5 linked regions of the Sus scrofa genome follow. The protein of the gene in region 1 interacts with the protein of each later gene in a biochemical or structural test. Links are inferred from orthologs where the notes say so. Each region holds a gene or a part of one and is shown in the gene's direction. Other genes may lie near its edges. The genes, in order: SMAD1, MAPK1, STUB1, SMURF2 and ACVRL1.

Evidence for each region.
Region 2: of the proteins of SMAD1 (region 1) and MAPK1, one has a biochemical effect on the other in vitro, tested with the Homo sapiens proteins (3 studies listed by BioGRID). The link is inferred for Sus scrofa from reciprocal best matches to the Homo sapiens genes SMAD1 and MAPK1.
Region 3: the proteins of SMAD1 (region 1) and STUB1 form a complex in vitro, tested with the Homo sapiens proteins (3 studies listed by BioGRID, with this or other methods). The link is inferred for Sus scrofa from reciprocal best matches to the Homo sapiens genes SMAD1 and STUB1.
Region 4: the proteins of SMAD1 (region 1) and SMURF2 form a complex in vitro, tested with the Homo sapiens proteins (2 studies listed by BioGRID and IntAct, with this or other methods). The link is inferred for Sus scrofa from reciprocal best matches to the Homo sapiens genes SMAD1 and SMURF2.
Region 5: of the proteins of SMAD1 (region 1) and ACVRL1, one has a biochemical effect on the other in vitro, tested with the Homo sapiens proteins (2 studies listed by BioGRID). The link is inferred for Sus scrofa from reciprocal best matches to the Homo sapiens genes SMAD1 and ACVRL1.

Annotation. Positions count from the first base shown.
Region 1 is NC_010450.4:82,984,669-82,989,318, reverse strand, and holds the start of SMAD1 (mothers against decapentaplegic homolog 1), read left to right. Parts: upstream 1-1,409; 5' UTR 1,410-1,593; intron 1,594-2,265; exon of another isoform or gene 2,266-2,281; intron 2,282-2,349; exon of another isoform or gene 2,350-3,140; intron 3,141-4,650. UniProt on the Homo sapiens protein: Transcriptional modulator that plays a role in various cellular processes, including embryonic development, cell differentiation, and tissue homeostasis.
Region 2 is NC_010456.5:50,081,692-50,086,296, forward strand, and holds the start of MAPK1 (mitogen-activated protein kinase 1), read left to right. Parts: upstream 1-1,387; 5' UTR 1,388-1,411; coding exon 1,412-2,154; intron 2,155-4,605. UniProt on the Homo sapiens protein: Serine/threonine kinase which acts as an essential component of the MAP kinase signal transduction pathway. MAPK1/ERK2 and MAPK3/ERK1 are the 2 MAPKs which play an important role in the MAPK/ERK cascade.
Region 3 is NC_010445.4:41,092,164-41,096,911, reverse strand, and holds STUB1 (E3 ubiquitin-protein ligase CHIP), read left to right. Parts: upstream 1-1,730; 5' UTR 1,731-1,850; coding exon 1,851-2,009; intron 2,010-2,501; coding exon 2,502-2,700; intron 2,701-2,788; coding exon 2,789-2,954; intron 2,955-3,291; exon of another isoform or gene 3,292-3,433; coding exon 3,434-3,521; intron 3,522-3,673; coding exon 3,674-3,730; intron 3,731-3,817; coding exon 3,818-3,934; intron 3,935-4,011; coding exon 4,012-4,137; 3' UTR 4,138-4,398; downstream 4,399-4,748. Other genes in the region: uncharacterized protein LOC100524737, read right to left, coding at 318-481, 601-753, 933-1,092, 1,249-1,342, 1,415-1,542; JMJD8 (jmjC domain-containing protein 8), read right to left, coding at 4,445-4,525, 4,606-4,740. UniProt on the Homo sapiens protein: E3 ubiquitin-protein ligase which targets misfolded chaperone substrates towards proteasomal degradation.
Region 4 is NC_010454.4:14,469,269-14,473,261, forward strand, and holds part of SMURF2 (E3 ubiquitin-protein ligase SMURF2), read left to right. Parts: intron 1-2,021; coding exon 2,022-2,217; intron 2,218-3,660; coding exon 3,661-3,764; intron 3,765-3,993. UniProt on the Homo sapiens protein: E3 ubiquitin-protein ligase which accepts ubiquitin from an E2 ubiquitin-conjugating enzyme in the form of a thioester and then directly transfers the ubiquitin to targeted substrates.
Region 5 is NC_010447.5:17,273,731-17,277,723, forward strand, and holds part of ACVRL1 (serine/threonine-protein kinase receptor R3), read left to right. Parts: intron 1-209; coding exon 210-461; intron 462-634; coding exon 635-846; intron 847-1,101; coding exon 1,102-1,201; intron 1,202-1,554; coding exon 1,555-1,701; intron 1,702-1,997; coding exon 1,998-2,273; intron 2,274-2,856; coding exon 2,857-3,054; intron 3,055-3,993. UniProt on the Homo sapiens protein: Type I receptor for TGF-beta family ligands BMP9/GDF2 and BMP10 and important regulator of normal blood vessel development. On ligand binding, forms a receptor complex consisting of two type II and two type I transmembrane serine/threonine kinases.

The DNA of each region.
Region 1 (4,650 bases):
TGAGCAACTACGGGAACTCCATTTATATTTTATATAAATGGAAGCTTACAGTCTGTGGGGTTTTTGTCTAGCTTCTTTCACTTAGCATAGGGTTTGCAAGTTTCATCCACGTAGAATGTCAGAACTTCATTCCTTTTTATGACTGAATGTGTTCCATTGTGTGCATACAGCACATTCTATTTATCAAAGGAGGGTTTGAGCACAGTAGTGACCTGTTTGGAGTGGCATTTCACAAGGCTCATTGCAACTGTTGCTGCCAGGGGTAGAGAATGAATTAACTGTCAAATGCTGTTCTTAGGGGAAACAAGACAAGGCCCAAGAATTGACCTGTAAGTGCTCAAATAATTGAACGAAGAAATTAGCAGACATAGTCTGACTATATATAAACAGTATTTTATGTATTTGGGGGGACCTGTTGCATTTCTTTTGAATGATTAAACATGGGATGTAGCAATAAGATGGTTAATAAGTAAGAATTTAAAATGGAATGTGCACATGTAAAGTACATGACAATTGGAGAATACCATTAATTTGACTTAAAAAAAATGATGGTAATAGTTCTTTTGGAACACGTAAATTTACTCCTCAGAATCATTATTCTCTAAACATAACCTTACCCTAATCATCCAAGATTTCAGGCCAGCTTCTAGAGAGCCGGCTAAGAGAAGAAAAAACTCTCATAAACAGACATTTTTAATGTCTGTGCAGATCAGGTGGATGGGAGCTAGTTTAGTTTTATTTTGGGAAGTTGGTGTCAACCAAAAGGTGGCAGAACCTGGATCAAAAAATTGAGAGTTCTGTTGCGGCATCTGTCATTTGGAGCAAAGACGTTAACTACTGGAATCTCTAGATCCTGAAACTGGCATCAAACACATGTATTGATTCAAGGTTTGGGCTAAGTACAAGAAATAGTTACTAGGTTATCCAGTTTTCAGTACGTGCAACTTCTGGGGCTTGCAAATCTTTGAGGAGTGAGGGGCAAGGAAAACTAGACCTAAAAGGCGAGGCTCGAAAGGTGATGATCAAAAATGCACTCTATGTTTAAAATGCGATTCGGTGGGCGGGGTGGCCAAATGTTTCGGAAAATAAACATAGAACGCGGAACTTCCCTTGCAGGTAAGGCTGAGTTGGCTTCACGGGGACCAGAGGAGGCAGGGACAGCCGTTTCGATTCCTAGGAATCAGCGGGGCGGTGGGCGGGGGAGGCGGCGCGGGCCCGGCGCTCGCGCTGGCGGGGCCGGGAATTTGGAGAGGATCCCTGGTCGCGCGGCGGCGGCGGCGGCGCGCGCGGGTGCGCGTGTGAGCGAGCGAGGGAGCGGGAGGGCGAGTGCGCCCGGTATTGGCAGCGGAGGAGTGGAGGCTGGGCGGCTCCGACTCCCTGACGCCAGCGCGACCAGATCAATCCAAGCTCCCGGAGCAAGCGAGCGAGCGGGCGGGCGGGAGGAGGAAGGAGAGGCCGAGCCGCTGAGCCCGAGCCGAGGCGCGGGGAGGGACCCTGCGAGCGCAGCGCCCGGCCGGCCGGACCGGGGCCGCGGGGGACCCCGCTCGCCCGGCCACCTCGTGCGCCCGCGCGGACGGGCGCGCAGCCAACCCGGTAAAACGAAACAGACCCGAACCCAACTTTCTCCTCCGCCGCGTCCCCGCCCTCCCTTCGGCGCCCCGCGGACTTTCCAGCGCCGCCGCCACCGCCTCGGGTTGGGGCGGGCGCGGGCCAGCCGGGTGGCCGCGGTCGTGCACCGGGCCAGTGGTGCGGTTGAGGCGGAGAGGGGGCTCTTCCCCGCGTGGGGCGGACCGGCACCCCCCCCCCCCATGATGGCGCCTCCCGGCAGCTCTAGGGAACCAACCTGCCACCTTCTCTCCCCTCGCGCTCCGCCAGCCAGGCTGGGCTTGGGCCGGAGTGCCCCCTGCGTCTTTGTTGGGTCCCCGGCGGGGACGCCGCGTCCCTTGGCCCCCAGCCTCGCCCCGATCCCTGCCCGCGGCCGGCCCTCGGCGGCCACCCTCCCCCCTCCGCCCGTTTCCCTTTCCCTTCCTGCAGCCGGGCCTGAGCCGTCGGCGCGGCCCGCCGGGCCCATTGTGTCCCGCGCCGGCCGGGCGACCCCTGCGGGAGTCGGAGGGCGGCCGCGGGCGCTGTCCTTTCCGCGAAGTGGGGCTCGCGCGAGGGGGCACCCGGTGCCCTGCGTCCCTCCGGCTTCGGGCCGGGCTCCCTCTTCTGCCCCGGCCAGCCTCTTGAGGGTCGAGGTCAAGGAAAGTTCTCACCTAAATTCTCTCTAATTTAGTCAAAGGTTTGGCTGCACGTAATTTTTTTTTTTCTCTTCCGCCTACCCCCCCCCCCCCCCCGCGCCCCGAGTCTCCAAGTGTCGTCTCATTCCTTTCCCTTTCCCGGATTTGATTGCCTCACTGCATGTGTATTTGTGAGTTCGCCGTGGAACAAGTGTTCATTTACTCTGCGCATGGTCTTTGTTAGTGTTTCTCGGGGTTGTTTCTGCAGGAAGGTGGGGGTGGTGGGTGTGAGAGAGACAGACGTGGGCTTGTTTTTCTAGTTGCTTAATACATATGAAGGCTTCCCAGGGAGAGCGTTTCCTTGATGTACTTTGGGAAGGGAGGAGGAACAGATGCCTGCCGGATCTTACAACTCCAGTAGCTGCGGCTTTTGTTTATTTTGAGGCGTGGACGATGTTTAAATGCACCGTGCAAGATCCCCAGTAAGGCGCTTTCCCTTCTGCAGATCGAGGAGCGTCTCAGAACTGTCTCCTGAGAAAGCACCATTGTCGTGAGAGCTCTGACAGCCGGCCTTTTTCTTTCCGCTGAGGTTCTTTTGCCATTGCAGCTGAAGTTTCAAAGTCTATGGAATGATCCCAGAAGTTGCCTGAGCTCTGTATGCCTTTGCGTTGCTGAAACTCTTCGCGATTAGCTCGATCGCAGAATGCCTTTATTTCAGAGCATATCTCGCTCTCCTTGGCTGTCGTGGATGACGTGCCCACATTCAGGAACACAGTGAGAAAACTGTCTTCTGCCCATGTTGATTTTTCGTCTTGTTTCTAATTACTCCTTTGCACTTTATTGGCGGTAGGTGAGCGGTCTTGGAACCAGGATTTCAGAAGAATTGAGGCAGAATCAATGTTCACCGCCCCAGGATTTTCAGTTAGTATAAATATTTTGCATCAGTGTTATTCTGATGGAGGTGCCAGGCCTAAATCTGCTGTGCTGATTTAAGTATTTGTCCTCTGTCCTCCCTCCCTCTTTGCATTTGCAGTTACTTGATATTTCTGTGCAGGTGGTGTACATTTGTGTAGTATTGCCATTCTTAGGAAACTGTAACCAGGGTCGTGGGAGATGATTTTCTAGAGGTGGGTGATGCCAGAGTCTCTGGAGGATCCGGGCAGGATCGGGTGTCTTCTGAGGGTAGGGATTTGTCCTTGATTTAGTTTTGACCCTTCCAACCATAGGTATGTAACTAAATACATTTTTCCTTCTTGCAGTATCCTTTGGTTTTGTACCTTCGAAGAGCTGATGACCTTTGCATTTTAGAGAAATGATAGTTTTTAGGCGGTTAAAAATGTTACGCTCTTACACCTCTTGGCATTTATTTATTTTTTCCAAGTTCATTAAAGCGTTAAGAGCAGGTAAGCCTCGTTTTCCCCAATACATTTATTAGTTGAAAACTAAATTGCAGTTTGTAATTTTGATTTCTAGTAATTCTGGGTTTAGTAACTTGGTTAGATTGGAAAAAGAATAAACTTGAGTGTAATTAGATGAGTATATTTAAGCTGCAGTCGCCTACATAATCAAGGCCAAGTTGTGTGTGTATAAAAGATCTCATTTGTGTAGTCTTACAAGGCTAATGGAGGCATCATTGAGGCTTTATAAATAATGTAAGTTGTGTATAATGTAGCGTCTCCAGAGACGGCAGAGAAAGCATCATTACCAGCCTTTTCAACCTGCTTGAGATCTTAAATTGATTTACAGCACTGAACTGGTGCAAAATGATACATCAGGATGACATGGGGTCAGCCTGTAAAAGTCTATGATGTCAGCCTATTAGTTCAGTCATCATAATTAAACCGTATTACAGGGGCAGCTAAGCAGGAGTCTGGCGTTATCCTTCAGATATGGGTGGTACATGTATTTTGTTTATGGTGGAAAGGCTGAACTGACAAGGAACGCTAGGGTTTCTAAAAAAGGGGAAAGGCTTACAGAACTCTGAATTTCTGAAAAAAACTGAAGGTACGTGAAGGGCTGTTCAGTCTGCATTGTCTAAATAGCTTTCCATTAGGTCGTGGAGAAACAGATGCTTTGGGGTGCTGATAAGGACCGTTGCAGCTCAGATCTGTGCACTGAACCATGCTTCATGTGAGCTTGAATTTAACTTGGCCTTAGGGACTTTCTAAAATATCAGAGGACCACATACTTTGTATCCCTCATCCTTTTATTAACACTGACTTGCACTGTATTGATGCACCCACTGCTATGTTATTTCTTTAACTAGTCATAGTTAACCAGGTCTCCACTGAAAAGTGAGATATTGGAATTGAACATATGAGCAATTCAGGAAAAGAAGATTCTTATTTTTGGCTTAACTTTCTGGCAGTCCTTATTCAGTTTGTGGGACACCTAGGGCTGTGCTGTCCATTGAGGTAGCTATAATGGCATG
Region 2 (4,605 bases), on another chromosome or scaffold:
TTAAGGCAGGTTTTCTTTTACTGTAAGTTATTGCCTCTAAGTGATTTGCTCTGTCTTCTTTGGGGAGGGGGTGCCTGTAGTTTGACTTTGTGGTGTTTGTTCTCTTGTACATTTTCTTCTTAAAGAATTTCATCACCAGCTTTTTCTCATAGTCGTCTCCTATCCTGCTGACTTGCTCTTCTACACTGTTAAGTCTGCTTATTACAGCTCCAACCATTGCTTTTACTTTGGCTATTGTGGTTTTAATTTCATGGTACCCTCTATTTATCTTGGCCTGTCCTTTAAAAGATGCAAGTTCTTCTTTTAATCAAGAATCAGGGAGTTCCTGTCATGGCTCAGTGGTTAACAAATCTGACTAGGAACCCTGAGGTTGAGGGTTTGATCCCTGGCCTTGCTCAGTGGGTTAAGGATCCTGCATTGCTGTGGCTTTGGCATAGGCCGGTGGCTACAGCTCTGATTAGACCCCTAGCCTGGGAACCTCCACATGCCGTGGGAAGTGGCCCTAGAAAAGGCAAAAAGACAAAAAAAAAAAAAAAAAAAAAAAAGGAATAAGAATCAGGTGTTGGGTTCTACTTTATGGACTAAACATATTTCAAAAGAGTACTTTTTGGCTGTAGCCCTTTATTTATTTTCTCATATGCCACATGTTTTTTTTTTTCCCCAGAGGATTTTTTTCTCTTTTGCTTATTCATCTTCAAGACTGTCTAGTTGATCTTTGTTGATGACTGGAAGTCCAGGCTTTCTGGATCACAGTGTCAGACAATCAGGACGCAGAATTTCCCACCCTTAGTCCCCTTTCCAAGACGACGCAGGTGACTCCAATGAAGTGGCTCAGAAGCAAGGGCTGGATCATCTTCTGTCTCATTGTCTTAGCTGTTTATCGAATTCACCTGCTTCAAGATTCTGCCTTTTATTTTCAACCTCTGGTGTTTGTGACTATTAAAGTTACAGTTGATTTATGTTGTGTTCATTTCTGCTATACAGCAAAGTGATTCAGTTATACATATATACATTCTTTTCCATTTTTGTGACAATCTCTGAACCTCAGTGCGTCTAACTCGTTTTCTCTAGATGTTAATACTTGTTTTTTTCGCGTTTCTACCTGGGTAAGATCCTGCCCATCTGTACCAACTTGGGTGCCAGTCTCTGAATCTCAGTGTTTTTCTCAGGGTCTCAACCCACTACTCCCGAACCCCTTACTCTGCTCTCCTTTTCTTCGCAGTACTTCGCAGACAACTTGAGTCTTCCTTCAGATCCATCGACCGTCCATCCATCATCTCCTGGAGGGTAGCTTCGAGGAGGGTGGACGCGCAGGAACGCGGTGACACTTGTTGAACGAGCCTCTGCCGGAGCGGGCCGCGTCCGGGCTTCTTGTCTCCGCCTCCCACTCTGGGTTTCACACTTTCTCAGGATGCAAATATCTCTCTCGGTCTCGGTCACCCTTCCGGCTTCTGTGCGGGTCTCGAGGCCTCTAATCTGTATGGGCCCCGGACTCTCACAAACCTGGCTCGGCGCGCGGGGGCGGGGGGAATCCGCCCCGGTCGCGCTCCTACTCGGAGGGAGCCGCCCGGAGCTTCTCTCGGCCCGCTGCCCCGCCCGTTCGGCCCCGCAAGCTCGCCCCGCCTCGGAGTCCTCAGCGTTTCCCCGCCGCCTCCCGCGAGCGCACGTGACCGCGCCCCGCCCCGCCGCTGCAGTGCTCCGCCCCCAACGCGCCTCTTCCGCCGGCCGCGCAGCCCTGCCCCCAGGCCGCGGGAGCCAATCCGCGCTCACGCCTACGGCCCTGCCCCGGCGCCCTCCTCGGCGCGCGCCCCTCCCTCCGCCCGCCGGCCCGCCCGTCAGTCAGTCAGGCGGGCAGTCGGTACGAGCGGTCGGTGGCTATCTACCTCTCCCGAGCGGGTCCCTCACTGATTCTTCCCGGCCAGCGGCGGCGGCTGCAGCGGCTGGGGCGCGGTCTCCCCGTTGGTGCAGCGTGGGCCGAGCAGCGGCCGCGGAGCATCGAGCCCAGTGCGGCGGCGGCGGCGGCGGCCCGGCAGCCAACATGGCGGCGGCGGCGGCGGGCGCGGGCCCCGAGATGGTCCGCGGGCAGGTGTTCGACGTGGGGCCGCGCTACACCAACCTCTCCTACATCGGCGAGGGCGCCTACGGCATGGTGTGGTGAGTGTCCATGCCCCGCGGCCTGGCCGCGCCCGCCGCCCTCCCCTCCCCCCCAGCCGGGCTCACCGCTGCTGCCCCGCTTGCTCTCCGGACCCCGACCCTGACCCCGACCCCGGACGCGGACCCAGCCCCTACCCCAACCCGGACCTCCGACCTCCGACCCAGGCCCGCTGCGCCGCCAACCGCAGCGGGGCCTCGGTCGGGGCGGGGCTGGTCGGGCTGGGGCGTTGCTCGGCGCGGGGAGGGGGCGGGGGGTGGACACTGGATCCAGGACCCCGGCCCGGGAACCTAGGCCCCCTCCGCCCCCCCCGCCCCCCTCCCCGGCCTGGGTGTGCGCCGCGCGGCCTGCTCTTCGCGCCGGGGTGGGAAGCCGCGAATTCCTTCAGATGCTGGCGGCGGCGGCCGCGGCGTGTGTGCCCCGCCCCGAAATGACCGTCTGTTATTTTCCTTCCCTCGCCTGCGTTTTCCACGCACGGCTTTCATCAGATACCTTCGGTGGTGCCAGCGGTGCTCTCCTGCGCAGGCTTTTGAAAAAGCATTAGTGGCGTCAATGTTTGTTTTGGCATATTTCATTCTTGATGAAGTTTTTAAATGGGTTTTAATATCGTACTGTCCGCGTTTTAGGAAAGATAAACCAGCATCCCTCTCTTGATTTATTAAGGAGTCATTTGGAGTTGGGCCTAAATTGGCTTCTTTTTCCTTTATCTCGCTTGAACTCTATTACCAGCATAAAGGCATCCAGACGTTTTAGCACAATTATTGTGGACTTTTACTGTCAATGCTTTAGTGGTCAATATGTATGCAGTCCTGGTGGAGTTCTTGCAGTGTCACATGCTGGTTCCCTCGTCTTGATGCAGATCCCTCAGAAACGTTTGTGGAGTGGAGGTGACGGTGTTTTTTTTTCGTTTTTTTTTTTTTTTTAAATTAGTACTAACTAGCTGTCTTGTGCTGATGAAGACTTGTGCAGGTGTGGACTCCCTTATACCTAAATCTTGTGAGTGTCTTTTGTGTTGAACGAAGGAAAAAAACTAATACTGAATGCTGCGTGGCAGGTACTGTGCTAGATATATTATCTCATTTTATTTGAATAGTCAGCTGGTGGGAGGGAAGGGCTGTGAGATCTTTCAGATGAGAAAGTATTTCTGGTAAAGCCAATTCCTAAGGTCATTCAACTAAAGAGTCAGACTTGAGATTGTAGACTGAGAATTTAACTTCAGTTGCTGCAGCTCTTTTCATTACATCCTATTTTTCTTAAATAATGTTATTAATAATTTTAGAATTCTAGTCTGTCTTACTCATAAGCAAATCTATTTCAGAAATATATTCAACTTTAAATGATCTTGATTTCAGAAAGGCCATAGAGGGCATGATTTACCAGTTACATTAGCTAGGTTCAAAGACTACATAAACTTTAAAAAAAAAGAAAAAGACTTTCATTGAATCTTGAATATTTTCATTCTTTTCAAGATCAAAATGCTTCAAAGTATACAGCTGAGAATTAACGTGAATTCAGAGGCTAAGGAGCCAAAAGCGAAATTAAATTAGTTGAGGCCTAAAAGAAATGCAGTCCTAGAATGCAATGGAGAGAAAGTAATGCCCCACAGCATCACTTGTGTCCTACATCTGATTGCTGTTGTATCTGCTGGTAAGTGTGCCAGTAAAGGTCTCTATGAAGTGTTCAGAATTGCCTGTCATGTCCTTCAGCCCTTCCAAAGAAGATAAATTAGAACCTAAGATAGACTCTGAAAAGAACTAGTTTTGGAGTTCCCATCGTGGCTCAGTGGTTAACAAATCTGACTAGGAACCATGAAGTTGTGGGTTCGATCCCTGGCCTTGCTCAGTGGGTTAAGGATCCGGCATTGCTGTGAGCTGTAGTGCAGGTTGCAGACGTGGCTCGGAATCTGCATTGCTGTGGCTCTGGCATAGGCCAGGGGCTACAGCTCTGATTGGACCCCTAGCCTGGGAACCTCCATATGCTGCGGAAGCAGCCCAAGAAATGGCAAAAAGACAAAAAAAAAAACAAAAACCAAAAAACTAGTTTTATGACAATCCAGTTTAGAGGTTTTTTTTTCTTTTTAATTTGATAAGAATGTTTACTAGTCTGAAGCTCATTTAGATCTGCTAACTTTCTGTAGCTTCTGTAGACTTATTTGACCTTCTAAATCTCTGTCGGGTAAAATACCAAGCCCTCTTAATGTGACGTTCCTTTCTTAAGTAGGATCCAAGTGTAAATATTATTGGAATTAGAATCCTGGGTACAGATTATAGCTTTTTATCTTCAGATTAATGATATTTAATATAAGAATTAAATCCATGTCACACATTATTAGCATTTAATAAATGTTGGTTTACATTGTTGGGTTTATGGAGGATTTCTTGATTGAAATAGTAATATTTGAATAGGGATGTTTTCAAAAATTTAATGCTTCCAGAGGATTTAAGTGTTTTGGG
Region 3 (4,748 bases), on another chromosome or scaffold:
TAAATATTTTACACAGCGTCAGGCGGCTGTACTAGGGCTCCGAGGGATGGTCTGGTCTCCTCTCAACTTGCTGAGCAAACTGCGAGGGCCCTTCCTTCCACGTGGGCCGCCTGGGCTTCCCCTCTTGCTTCTCTGCACCTGTCGTGAGCTGCGTCTGTGAGAGACGGGCCAGACGGGCTGGGGAGGGACTGTGGGCCTCACAGGCAGGTGTGAGTTCAGCAAGCATTTATTGGGCTCCTACAGCAGCCAGCCTCTGGCCCAGAGACTTGTGCCCTGAGGTCACAGAGCAGGTGAGCAGGATCTGGGCCACAGCCAAATCAGTCGGTCTGGGTCCGGCGCTTCTTGGCTGGCCTGGAGTCCTCGGGGGCGGCTGGGCTGGGACCGAGGTCGGGCAGCAGGTCAGGGCACAGCTTCTGCCCTATAGCCCAGGTCCACAGGGCTGTCTCCACACGATGCGGGGTCCACAGCCCTGAGGCACTGCCTAAGGAGGGGCAACAGGGAGTCTGGGGCCCAGGTCACCCTGCTCTGCTGGGAAGCTCTGCACCCTCCACCCTGACCAGAGTCCTGAATGCCCTCCCTCGCTGCCAGCAGTCTCCTCACCATGGCTCAGAGCTGTGGCTCGCTCCTGCACCCGGCTCAGGTACAGCAGGTAGTGCTTGAGGGTGTACTGCAGGGCTGGCAGACCGGGCACCGCGGCCACTGCCTCCTCAGACATGAAAGCTGCCACCTCGGGAGCTCCGGCAGCCAAGACCGCTATGGGCAGCAAACAGCCAACACTCAGGCCCCACCAGCCTCAAGACACCTTCGGGGCTGCCATTCGCAACAGCTCTTGGTGTCATGAACGTGGCCATCAGGCGATGTCCCAGGCAAATGTACTAACAGACCAGGTTCCGCCCGCGACCCTGCCAGGGCGCCAGGCTCTCCCGACTAACCCGAGGCCGTGGCCGGGCCCACGCCCCGCAGGGCGCGTAATTCCGTGACCGCGGCGTGCATGTCTGGCAGGAGGGGGAAGGCGGCAGCCGAGTGCTGCACCACCAACTCCGGGGCGTTGGCGCTGACGAGCTGATGCAGGCGCGGCCTGAAGCGGCCCCGCTGGTCAAGTCGGGGTGGGGGTCACGGGTGCTGGACCTCGCTAGGGGCCCCGCCCCACAGCGCGAGGGCCCGCCCCCGGGCGAGCCACGCCCACGCCCACACCGCTACGCCCCGCCCCGGAAGGAGGCCCCGCCCCCCAAGTGGGAAGTTCCTCACAGCCAGCTTCCAAGCCAGCAGCTGCCCCAGCTCTTCTCGAGTCACGTGCTTCTCCTCCCGGCCCTCGATGGCTGCGGGCAACGCCTCTCGATACCTGGAGAAGAGCTGTGACGGCGACTCCGGGCCACGGGGGTCCCCCGCCCACCCGATGCCCCTATCACCCTACCATCGGTCCAGGGCTTCCAGCCGCCCCTGGGGGCCCGCGCGCGCTCGGAGCACTTCCCCGTGGCGGCCCAGGACGGCGGCCCAGAGGCTCGGGTCCTCACAGCCCCAAAGGCCGCGGGCCGCCGCCATGTCCACGCGCCGGGGCAGGGCTTCGGGGGCGGGGCGCCGGGGCGCCGGGGTGGGCTTCCGCCCCGACGACCTCGGCTCTCCTCAGGTTGCCGACGCCGCGCGTCGAGTCGCCGCGAGCGCACGCTCCCTGCCAACCCCGCCCCCGCGGCGCGTTGGGGGCACGCGAGGCCCCGCCCAACCGCACGGCCGGAAGTTCCGGTGGCAGAGCGCAGGACTGGGCCCGAGCGGATCGCGGGCTCGGGGTGCGGGCGCTGGGCGGGCCGGGCGCGGAGCCTGGGAGCGGAGCCCAGGCCGTGCCGCGCGGCGCCATGAAGGGCAAGGAGGAGAAGGAGAGCGGCGCGCGGCTGGGCGCCGGCGGCGGCAGCCCGGAGAAGAGCCCGAGCGCGCAGGAGCTAAAGGAGCAGGGCAACCGGCTCTTCGTGGGCCGCAAGTACCCGGAGGCGGCGGCCTGCTACGGCCGCGCCATCGTGAGTGCGCCCGGGCCGCGGGAGGGGGCAGGCGTCGGGGCCGGAGGAGGGGCCGGGCCGGGCCGCGGCTTCGGCCCCGCGTCCTCCCCGGAGCCCCTGTCTGGCCGCCCCTACCGGACTTTCGGAGGGGATGCACTTCGGCTCTGAGGACTGAGTGATCTTCTCTCAGAGAGGCCAAGGCTACGGCTCCCGAGCCAGGGTTGGTGGTCAGAGAACTGTGGCGGGTGGGAGCTTCAGGGTGCTTGCAGCCCACTGGGCTGGGGGTCCAAGCCCAAAGCTGGGGATTTTCAGGAGTCTGGGAAACCTGTCTTCGCAAGACTCGTTGGAGTCGAGGGGGCGGGCTCAGGTAGGCTCCACCCTTCCTCCGCGCCCAGAGACCTGGGTGCTGAGAAACCTCTAGTGTCTTGATTCCAGCCGTGGGTCTCAAGCTAGGACAGAAAGGGCAGGCTGAACTCACTCCCTCATGTTGGCTGGTCCGGCCTTGGTCCCCAGACCCGGAATCCCTTGGTGGCAGTGTATTACACCAACCGGGCACTGTGCTACCTGAAGATGCAGCAGCACGAGCAAGCCCTGGCTGACTGCCGGCGCGCCCTGGAACTGGACAGCCAGTCTGTGAAAGCACACTTCTTCCTGGGGCAGTGCCAGTTGGAGATGGAGAGCTATGATGAGGCTATTGCCAACCTGCAGCGAGGTGGGCTTGCTGGCTGGCCTGTTCCAGGGTGCCTGGGACCAGGCGGGGGGACTGGCTCGAGGGTTACCCGGATCCTTTGTTCCCCCAGCCTACAACCTGGCCAAGGAGCAGCGGCTCAATTTTGGGGATGACATCCCCAGTGCTTTGCGCATTGCCAAGAAGAAACGCTGGAACAGCATCGAGGAGCGGCGCATCCACCAGGAGAACGAGCTGCACTCTTACCTCACTCGACTCATTGTGGCTGAGCGTGAGAGGTGGGCTGTGGTGTTCATGGGCTCCACCCCACCTCCCAAAGTCACCATTCTTTTTTTCCTTGTTTTTTTGTTTTCGTGTCTTTTCGCCATTTCTAGGGCCCCTCCTGTATCATGTGAAGGTTCCCAGGCTAGGGGTCCAATCGGAGCTCTAGCCGCCGGCCTACGCCAGAGCCACAGCAATGCGGGATCCGAGCCGTTGTCTGCGACCTACACCAGTTCTTGACAACGTCGGATCGTTAACCCACTGAGCAAGGCCGAGGTTCAAACCTGCAATCTCATGGTTCCTAGTCGGATTCATTAACCACTGAGCCATGACGGGAACTCGCAAAAGTCACCATTCTGAGTCGTGAACATAAGCGTTTATTGAGGACCAGCCTGGGAAAGCAGGAGATGAGGGAACAGGGCCTGAATCGGCCCAAGGTGGAGTCTGATCTCCTCTGGCCAGACCCATCTCTGATCAGCTGTGTGGTCCACCCCAGGGAGCTGGAAGAGTGTCAGCGGAACCACGAGGGTGAAGAGGATGACGGCCACATCCGGGCCCAGCAGGCCTGCATCGAGGCCAAGCATGTGAGGGTGCCCTGCCCACGTGTGGGTCCTGTGTGTATTTGCACGTGTGTGATGTGAGGTGACCCTGGCTCCTGTTGGGTCTTTGTGGGCGGGGTGCCTGGGGAAAGGCGACAGGGGCTCAAGCTTCTCTGGAGCTGCCTGGTTTTTTGTAGGATAAGTACTTGGCAGACATGGATGAGCTCTTCTCCCAGGTGGATGAGAAGAGAAAGGTAAGCTGCCTGTTCCCTGGGCCCTGTGGGTAGCAGGAGCCAGGGCAGTGCCCCTTCCCGCTCCTGACCTGAGCTTGGGTGCTGCAGAAGCGAGACATCCCTGACTACCTGTGTGGCAAGATCAGCTTCGAGCTGATGCGGGAGCCGTGCATCACGCCCAGTGGCATCACCTATGACCGCAAGGACATTGAGGAGCACCTGCAGGTAAGGGTCCGTAGCCGCTGGGGGCAGGGCCCACACCCACTGGGCATCTTCTCATTCTGATCCTGTTGCCACTGCAGCGCGTGGGCCACTTTGACCCTGTGACTCGGAGCCCCCTGACCCAGGAACAGCTCATCCCCAACCTGGCCATGAAGGAGGTCATTGATGCGTTCATCTCGGAGAATGGCTGGGTGGAGGACTACTGAGGCAGGGCAAGTGGGTGGGCCCCTCACCCACCCTGCCCAGTATCCTGGCTTCTTGGGAGGGCCTTGGGGCAGCAGCCCCTAGCCTCTGTACATAGTTCGTGTCCCTGGATCCCCACCCTGGTATCCCCAGCCCCAGCCCCACCAGTTCTGCTGGGCCATGAGGCTCCCCCATCCTCCTGTGCCAGAAGCGGCAGGTGAGGGTGGGCCAGGCCGAGGTTGCTGCTGCCACCACTGTCCCTGTAATAAAATCTGTGAGCACTATGGGGGCGTGTGCTGGTGTGCAACGGCTTACCAGCCACCCCCTGGGTTAGCTGAGGAACGTAGAGATGAAGACGCTGATGTCAAGGTTGAGTGTGGCGTGCCACCATCGGTCAGGGAAATACAGCACCTAGTGGATGGGGTGAGAAAGGCACAGGGATTGGTTGCAGGCCCTTGGCCCGGCCCAGCCCCTGCCTGCCAACCACTGACCTCACCGGCCTGGATGGTGCATTCCAGGGGCCGTGCAGATGGTGCCAGGGCTGGGTATGTGTCCCGGAGCCAAGCCAGTGTGGTCTTGTTGGGATGGAACTCGGGTGTCTTCTCAGGGGGATACAGGAACCAGCGCTGAGGGT
Region 4 (3,993 bases), on another chromosome or scaffold:
CCATCTGTATATCTTCTTCAGTGAAATTTTTTACGTCCTTTTGAAAAAAACTGAGTTTTTTATTTTTATACTTTTAAGTGTTTCTTTTTTGGCCATGCCCAAGCATGTGAAAGTTCTTGGACCAGGGATCAAACCCATGCCAGAGCAGCGACCCAGGCCCTGCAGTGACAGTGCCAGATCCTTAACCCACTGCACCACAAGAGAACTGCTTAACATTTAAGTTTGGAGAGTTCTTTAGATGTTCGAAATAAAGTTTTATATCAGATATATTCTTTAGAAAGATCTTCTAGACTCCAACTTGTCTTTTCATTTTCTTTTTTTTTTTTTTTTTTTTTTTCTTTTTGCCTTTTCTAGGGCCGCACCTGCGGCATGTGGAGGTTCCCAGGATAGGGGTCCAATGGAGCTGTAGCTGCCGGCCTTCGCCAGAGCCATAGCAACTGGGATCTGAGCCATGTCTGTGGCCTACACCACAGCTCACAGCAACGCCGGATCCTTAACCCACTGAGCAAGGCCAGGGATCGAACCTGCAACCTCGTGGTTCCTAGTTGGATTCGTTAGCCACTGAGCCATGACGGGAACTCCTTTTCATTTTCTTAATAGTGTCTTTTGAAAGCAGAAAGTTTCTTTGAAATTTCAATGAAGTTCATTTTATCTATTTGTACTTTTATCATTGTGCTTTTGGGATCATATTTAAGAAATCTTTCCCTGACATCAGTCATATAAGTTTTCTAACTGTGTTTCAAAGATTTCGTGGCTTGAGATTTACATTAAGGTCTCTGATCCGTTTTGAGTTTTGTATTTGGTGTAAGGTATACACCAGTTCTTTTAGGGGAGTATAGATTAATATAGTTAAGGTGTATTTTAGGAGTTTTTATATATTTGTTTTGATTTATATATGTGTGTATACATACATATATATATATAACACCTTTATTATAATGTTTACAAGAGTAGTAAATAGTGATTTATAATTTTTATCAAAGCTGCTTTTTTCTCTGGATAGTTATTAGTTAAATGTTCCAGGTATAAAGTTTAGCATGGTATTTAAGAATCACGTATATAAAGTAAGTTGAGTGATTTGTTAGTGAACTGAAGGTTTTTTTTTTTTTTTTTTTTTATTTCCTCATAGCTATCATTACTCTTCACTTGTAAGTTAGGAGATTGTAGTCTTGTATGTAAAATTCCAGCTGAATCACTCAAGGTCTGCATAGATGTCCATAGTAAATTCTCTGACTTTTAATTTCCTGACTGTTTATTGGAATTAACTATTCATTATATCGTAAGAGTCTTAAAAATTCTTAGATGCAACTTATATTTTTGCCAAAGAATAAATATATTATTAGGCAGTGTGCCTTTTAAAAATTGTTATATTTCTGCTGTACTTGGGAGATTATTTACATGTATTTATGGTAAATCATATATGTGCAGTTAGAAGTCACTTCAGCACAGTAGACAATGTGAATGTACTTAATGCCACTTACTACAATGCTTAAAAATGGTTAAAATGTAAAGTTTATGTTACGTGTATTTTACCACAATAAGAAGTTGTCATAAAGCATTTAGACTTGTTTGTAAAGTTCTCATTTCTCTGTGCCAATAATTTCCACGTGACCTGTGGTCTAGACTGTAGCGTGCCTTGAAGGGGGCCCTGTCAAGCTGCCAGTTCAAAGTTTGTCTATTCCAGAGAGACGGACTCTAGATAACAGGGCCAGGCTTTGGCATGTGCCTGAATTTTAAAATGAGTGATGGTAAACTATGCGGAAGAAAATGGAAATGGTATTTGAGAAAGTTGTTCTCAGCAGCTGTATAAAGCTTTTGAGATAAAACTCTATTATCCAAGTCCATAAATTCTGAGAGATAAACTTTAGAATTAGTTTATTGTTGTCAAAAATGTCAGGCTAAGAATATAATAAGGCCTAGAATGATATAGCTAGACTTGGTTTAGAGTATGATGCTATTTTAAATATATGATTGCTGTCTTTTTTGTTTAAAATACTTTAGTAATATTTGTGTACTTTTAGTCGACAGAACCAGTTGAAAGACCAGCAGCAGCAGCAGGTGGTATCGTTATGTCCTGATGACACAGAGTGTCTGACAGTCCCACGGTACAAACGAGACCTGGTTCAGAAGCTAAAAATTCTGCGGCAAGAACTTTCCCAGCAACAGCCTCAGGCTGGCCATTGTCGCATTGAGGTTTCCAGGGAAGAGATTTTTGAGGTAAACTTTTTTTATAGTTAATTGAAGTGTAGTTGATTTGCAGTGTTCTGTCAATTTCTGCTATACAGCAAAGAGGTAAACTTCAAGTCTTACTCTAAAATAGAGAAAAAATTAAATTTCACTGATTTATTCTGTTTTCCAAGTATATTTTGGGGCACTTAGGTCTCTTTAGAATGGGAGAATTTTACTTCCTTTTTTTTTTTTTGGTTGTGCCCAATGCATGTGAAGTTCCCTGGTAAGGGACTGAACTTGTGCCACGGCAGCACCCCAAGCTGCTGCAAGACAGTGTTGGATCCTTAACCTACTGCACCACAAGGGAACTCCTAGAATGGAAGAATTTTCATTAATTTTTTTTAATTGAAGTATAGTTGATTTACAATGTTGTGTTAATTTCTGCGCTACTGCAAGATGATTCAATTACACATATACATACGTCCTTTTATTTAAATATTTTCCATTGTGATTTATCATAGGATATTGAATATAGCTCCCTATATAGTAGGACTTTGTTGTTCATCATTAATTTCTTTTTTAATTGTGGAGAATAAAGGCAATAATACTGGAGACATTTAATATAAGATAAACATATAAGTAAGAGGGAGTGTGAGATACTCTGTGCAGCTTGATCTATGTATTGCAAATATTTATTTGATTTGAATTTTAAAAGTCTACAATACTATCCATCCCTTATTTTCTGATTCTTCCAAAAGGTAAGGGACTCTTAAGTCAGAAAATCCCTTTGTTTCATTACTGTTGGACTACTTCCTTAATTTATTGAAAATCTTCCTTTCTAGTATATCCTTTATCTTTGGATTTTATAGCTCTAATAGCAAAGTTCTTACATAGTAAGTGGCAGAGGTCCAAGGCAGGGTTTCCCACTCATTAAGGGTTCTTAGGCAGTAGACGTTTGGGCGACTTTGTAATCCTTCTCCCAAAGGATCAACTTTTTTCTCTCAGAACAGTTCTGACCTTATTTGTAGTCCGTCATTTGTATTTTTAAAATAATACAAAGTTGTCAGTTTAATGAAGATTACATTAATGACTACTTATGTTTTCTGAAACTTCTTTTTCTTAACTTTACTTTCTACGGTGTCTGTGACCTAGAGGTTAATAAAAAAGTTTGGTCCTGCTATGAACTTCTGTTTTTTGATGTGAGTGGAATCATTGCTATGGTTCAGAGGACTTAAATATGGAGTTTTGCACTTAGTAGGCTTTTAATATAATATTTATCAAATGAATTGGTTCCAGTAGTTTTAAGCTATATCACATTTTGTTTTTAGAAGTTTGTTTAGATTTCAAACACTTGGAGTTTATCTGTTGATTTGATAAACAATTTCCACCTTATTTAAATAAACATATGTTTTGTAGGTGGAATGGGAGGGAGAGTTTAAGTAATAGGTTAAAGGCACCTAGTAATAATAGTGTATTAAATGTTTTTTTCAGGAATCATATCGGCAAGTCATGAAAATGAGACCAAAAGATCTCTGGAAGCGATTAATGATAAAATTTCGTGGAGAAGAAGGCCTTGACTACGGAGGAGTTGCCAGGTGAAGACTTGCTTCTCAGTAACTGATGTGTGGATCCTCATGTTCGCAAATTTAAGATATTTCCTGTGGCGTCGCTTTCTCATTGATACGTGTTTTCTAGCGTAATACTCCCTATTGTGTGCGATGTAAAGGATACCCGAATAGGTGTATTGCTAATGAGGTTAGGATGGTACTGCTGCCAGAAGAGTGCTTGTGATCTCCCCCGTGGACCGGGCAGTCCACTGAGACT
Region 5 (3,993 bases), on another chromosome or scaffold:
GCGAGAAGCCTGGTTCTCATGGGTGTCAGCTGCCCCTGGCAAGGATAAGGCACGGGGGAGAGGGATAATCTGAGGATGCAGCTGATGGACCAAGGCCTCAAAAGTTTTGTCTAAGCCCTCAGGAGGGAGGGGCGGTGGGCAGACTTGGGTGGTAGGTGCATCCTGGGGCGTCAGGCCCAGAATGGCTGAGCTTCCAGTGTGTCTCCCAGGCAACCCCGTGAAGCCCTCTCGGGATCTGCTGGTGACCTGCACGTGTGAGAACCCATACTGCAAGGGGCCCACCTGCCAGGGGGCCTGGTGCACAGTAGTGCTGGTGCGGGAGGAGGGCGGCCACCCCCAGGAACATCGGGGCTGTGGGAACCTGCACCAGGAGCTCTGCAGGGGGCACCCCACTGAGTTCGTCAACCACTACTGCTGCTACAGCTCCCTCTGCAACCACAACGTGTCCCTGGCACTGGAGGGTACGTCCAGCTGCCCGCCTTCTCAGACTCTGCCCACCCTGCCCTGCTTGTCTCTCATGCTCTGGCCTGGAGGGCGGGGGAGGCAGGACTCTGGGATCTGACTGGCAGAGGGGCGGGGCGGGGGTGCCATCTGGCCTGCAGGGAGCTGGGCCTCAGTGTCCCCCCTCCGCCAGCCACCCAGACTCCTCCGGAGCAGCCACAAGCAGACAGCCAGCTGCCTCTGATCCTGGGCCCTGTGCTGGCCTTCCTGGTCCTGGTGGCCCTGGGTGCCCTGGGCCTGTGGCATGTCCGGCGGAGGCAGGAGAAGCAGCGGGGCCTAAACAGCGAGCTGGGCGAGTCCAGCCTCATCCTGAAGGCATCTGAGCAGGGGGACAGCATGTTGGGGGTACGGGCCTGGGGGAGCCTGGGACACAGGGTGGCGGTGGGAAGACGGGGGCCACAGAATCGGAGGGGGTACTGAATGGCAGGTAGCTGAGAAAGGCACGTGGCAGGCACGTAGAGATTTGATTGGGCGCTGGAAGGGAGGGGCTGGTGAATGAGGAGTGTGAAGAGAGACAGCAGGGGGCCCAGGCTGAGGAGGGAGAAATGGGTTGGGTGGATGAGGGCTGCCTCTCTCTCAGTGGCCTCTTGGTATTCCCAGGACCTCATGGACAGTGACTGCACCACGGGCAGTGGCTCAGGGCTCCCCTTCCTGGTACAGAGGACAGTGGCACGGCAGGTTGCCCTGGTGGAGTGTGTGGGTAAGGCTGGGGACCCAGAGCTCCCATGAGCTTGGAGGGGTGAGGGAGCTGCTGCCCTCCACGCTCACAGGCCAGGCCAGGGCCGGGTCAGAATGGGAATTCTGCTGGGCAGGGAGGGGGCTGGAGCAGGGTCAGCGCCAGACACTTCTGCAGGAACAAGAGGCACATGGGGGGGGGGCTGCCAGCTGTGTTTGGATCTGGATGAAATTAAACATAAACATAAGCATCAGAGGTTCTGCAGATGCAGTCCGTGCAGCAGCATAATGGGGGAGGGGGAGGGGCTCTTCCCGGCTTCGTGGGCTCTGCGCACCCAGTTATGTGACCCGCTCCCTCCTCTCTTGCCCTCGGGTCAGGAAAGGGCCGCTATGGCGAGGTGTGGCGGGGCCTGTGGCATGGCGAGAGTGTGGCGGTCAAGATCTTCTCCTCCAGGGATGAACAGTCCTGGTTCCGGGAGACTGAGATCTACAACACGGTGTTGCTCAGACACGACAACATCCTAGGCAAGCCCGGCGCGCTATGCCAGGCCCCCCTGTCACCCTCCTGCACTCAGGGCGGGACCATCACACCCCCTCCCCAATCTGGATACTGACTTACCCTTGAAGGACTCCCAGCCAGCCCTCAGCCCCAAACGCTGACTCCGGCTTCCTCTCTGACCTAAGCCAGACCAGCCTCCACACCACCCCATGGGTGGGTGGAGGATGCACCCTGACCTAGCGCATCCTCTGTCCCCAGCCCTGACTGGTTCATCTCCCTCATCCCCAGCCCCTTGGTGAGCGACCTGACCCTCCGCCCACAGGCTTTATCGCCTCGGACATGACGTCCCGCAACTCGAGCACGCAGCTGTGGCTCATCACGCACTACCACGAGCATGGCTCGCTCTACGACTTTCTGCAGAGGCAGACGCTGGAGCCGCAGCTGGCCCTGAGGCTAGCCGTGTCGGCGGCCTGCGGCCTGGCGCACCTGCACGTGGAGATCTTCGGCACGCAGGGCAAGCCGGCCATCGCCCACCGCGACCTCAAGAGCCGCAACGTGCTGGTCAAGAGCAACCTGCAGTGCTGCATCGCAGACCTGGGTGAGCGGGGAGGGGCGGGTCCTCAAGGGGGCGGGGCGTGGGGGGGGTCTGTGCGCGCTCCCTCTCGGTTCGGTCTTTGCCTGATTGGATGCCTGGCGTCGAGGAGGACGCTGATTGGCGCTTTAAAACCTACAGACGTGTGTGGTCTCATCGCACCTCCACAAGTTGCGTTAACACTCTTTTCAAGCCCAGACTCCTTCCGCCACACCAGCTGGGCTCCAGGAGTTGGGAGAAAGGGGGCAGGGAGCCAGCCACCTGGGTTCTCATTCCGGCTTCGCTGACTACATCGCTGCCCCTCACCAGGCCTTGGGGTTCAGCTCTGTGAAATGGGCATCATGGTGCCTGCCTCGCCTGCTCACCTCTCGCTGGGTTCTTGCACCCAGAGAGCGCTGCACAAGCGAAGTGAAACTGGGCTGTTCTGTTATTCTCCCTGGGGCTGCTGTCTCCCAGCCCCCCCTCAAGGCAGGTCTCCACGGGCTGCTCTGTGTCCCCACTTCCATCTCAACCTCACGCCCCGCCCCTCCCCCAGCCCTGCCTATGGGCTCGGGTGGGCGGCAGGAGTGACAGGCCTGGGTACCCACAGGCCTGGCTGTGATGCACTCCCAGGGTAGCGATTACCTGGACATCGGCAACAACCCGCGAGTGGGCACCAAGCGGTACATGGCCCCCGAGGTGCTGGAAGAGCAGATCCGCACTGACTGCTTTGAGTCCTACAAGTGGACGGACATCTGGGCCTTTGGCCTGGTGCTGTGGGAGATCGCCAGGCGGACCATTGTCAACGGTGAGGCTCCTGCACAGGGTGGGAAAAGGGGAATAGACAGGCAGGAGACGGCTTCCTGCCATGGCTGGTGCCCATGGCCGGAGGGGCTTGTGGTTAGACCTCCTGTGTTCTCTTTACTGCCACTCACCACTGGCTCAGCTGAGTGACTTTTTAAGGTTCATCTGAGTCTGATTCTGGCTGTGAAATCATGAGTAAGTGCTAATAACAGAAATATTAATAGCAGCTAACATGTATTGAGTTTAAATATGAGCCATATGCTATGCCGTATACATGTATTCTCTTATGGAATCGTCCTGTGTTGGCAGGGAGGTGGTATTGCTTAGCGGTTAAGAGTATGAGTTGGTGGAGTTCCGCTTGTGGCTCAGTGGTAACGAAACCGACTGGTATCCACGAGGACACAGGTTCTATCCCTGGCCTCCCTCAGTGGGATAAGGGTCCCATGTTGCTGTGAAGGCCAGTGTAGGTCTCAGATGCAGCTTGGATCTGGTTTTGCTGTGGCTGTGGTGCAGGCCGGTGGCTACAGCTCCAATTAGACCCCTAGCCTGGGAACCTCCATATGCCACAGGTGTGTCCCTAAAAAGATGAAAGAAGGCGAGAAAGAAAGAAAGAAAGAAAGAAGGAAGGAAGGAAAAACAGACATGGGTTGGTAATCAGACTGCCTAGGTTCAGTTCCTGATGTTGCCATCAACTGTGTGCAAGGTACTTAAACCTCTCTGCCTCAGTTTCCTAATTTGTAAAGTGAGAGTAAAAATAATTTATCGGAGTTTGCGTTGTGGCTCAGTAGGTTAAAGACCCAGCATTGTCTCCCTGAAGATGCAGATTTGATTGCTGGCCTCGCTCAGTGGGTTAAGGATTCTTTGTTGTTGTGAGCTGCAGCATAGGTCTCGGTGTGGCTCGGATCCTGCGTTGCTGTGGCTGTGCCGTAGGCCGGCAGCTGCA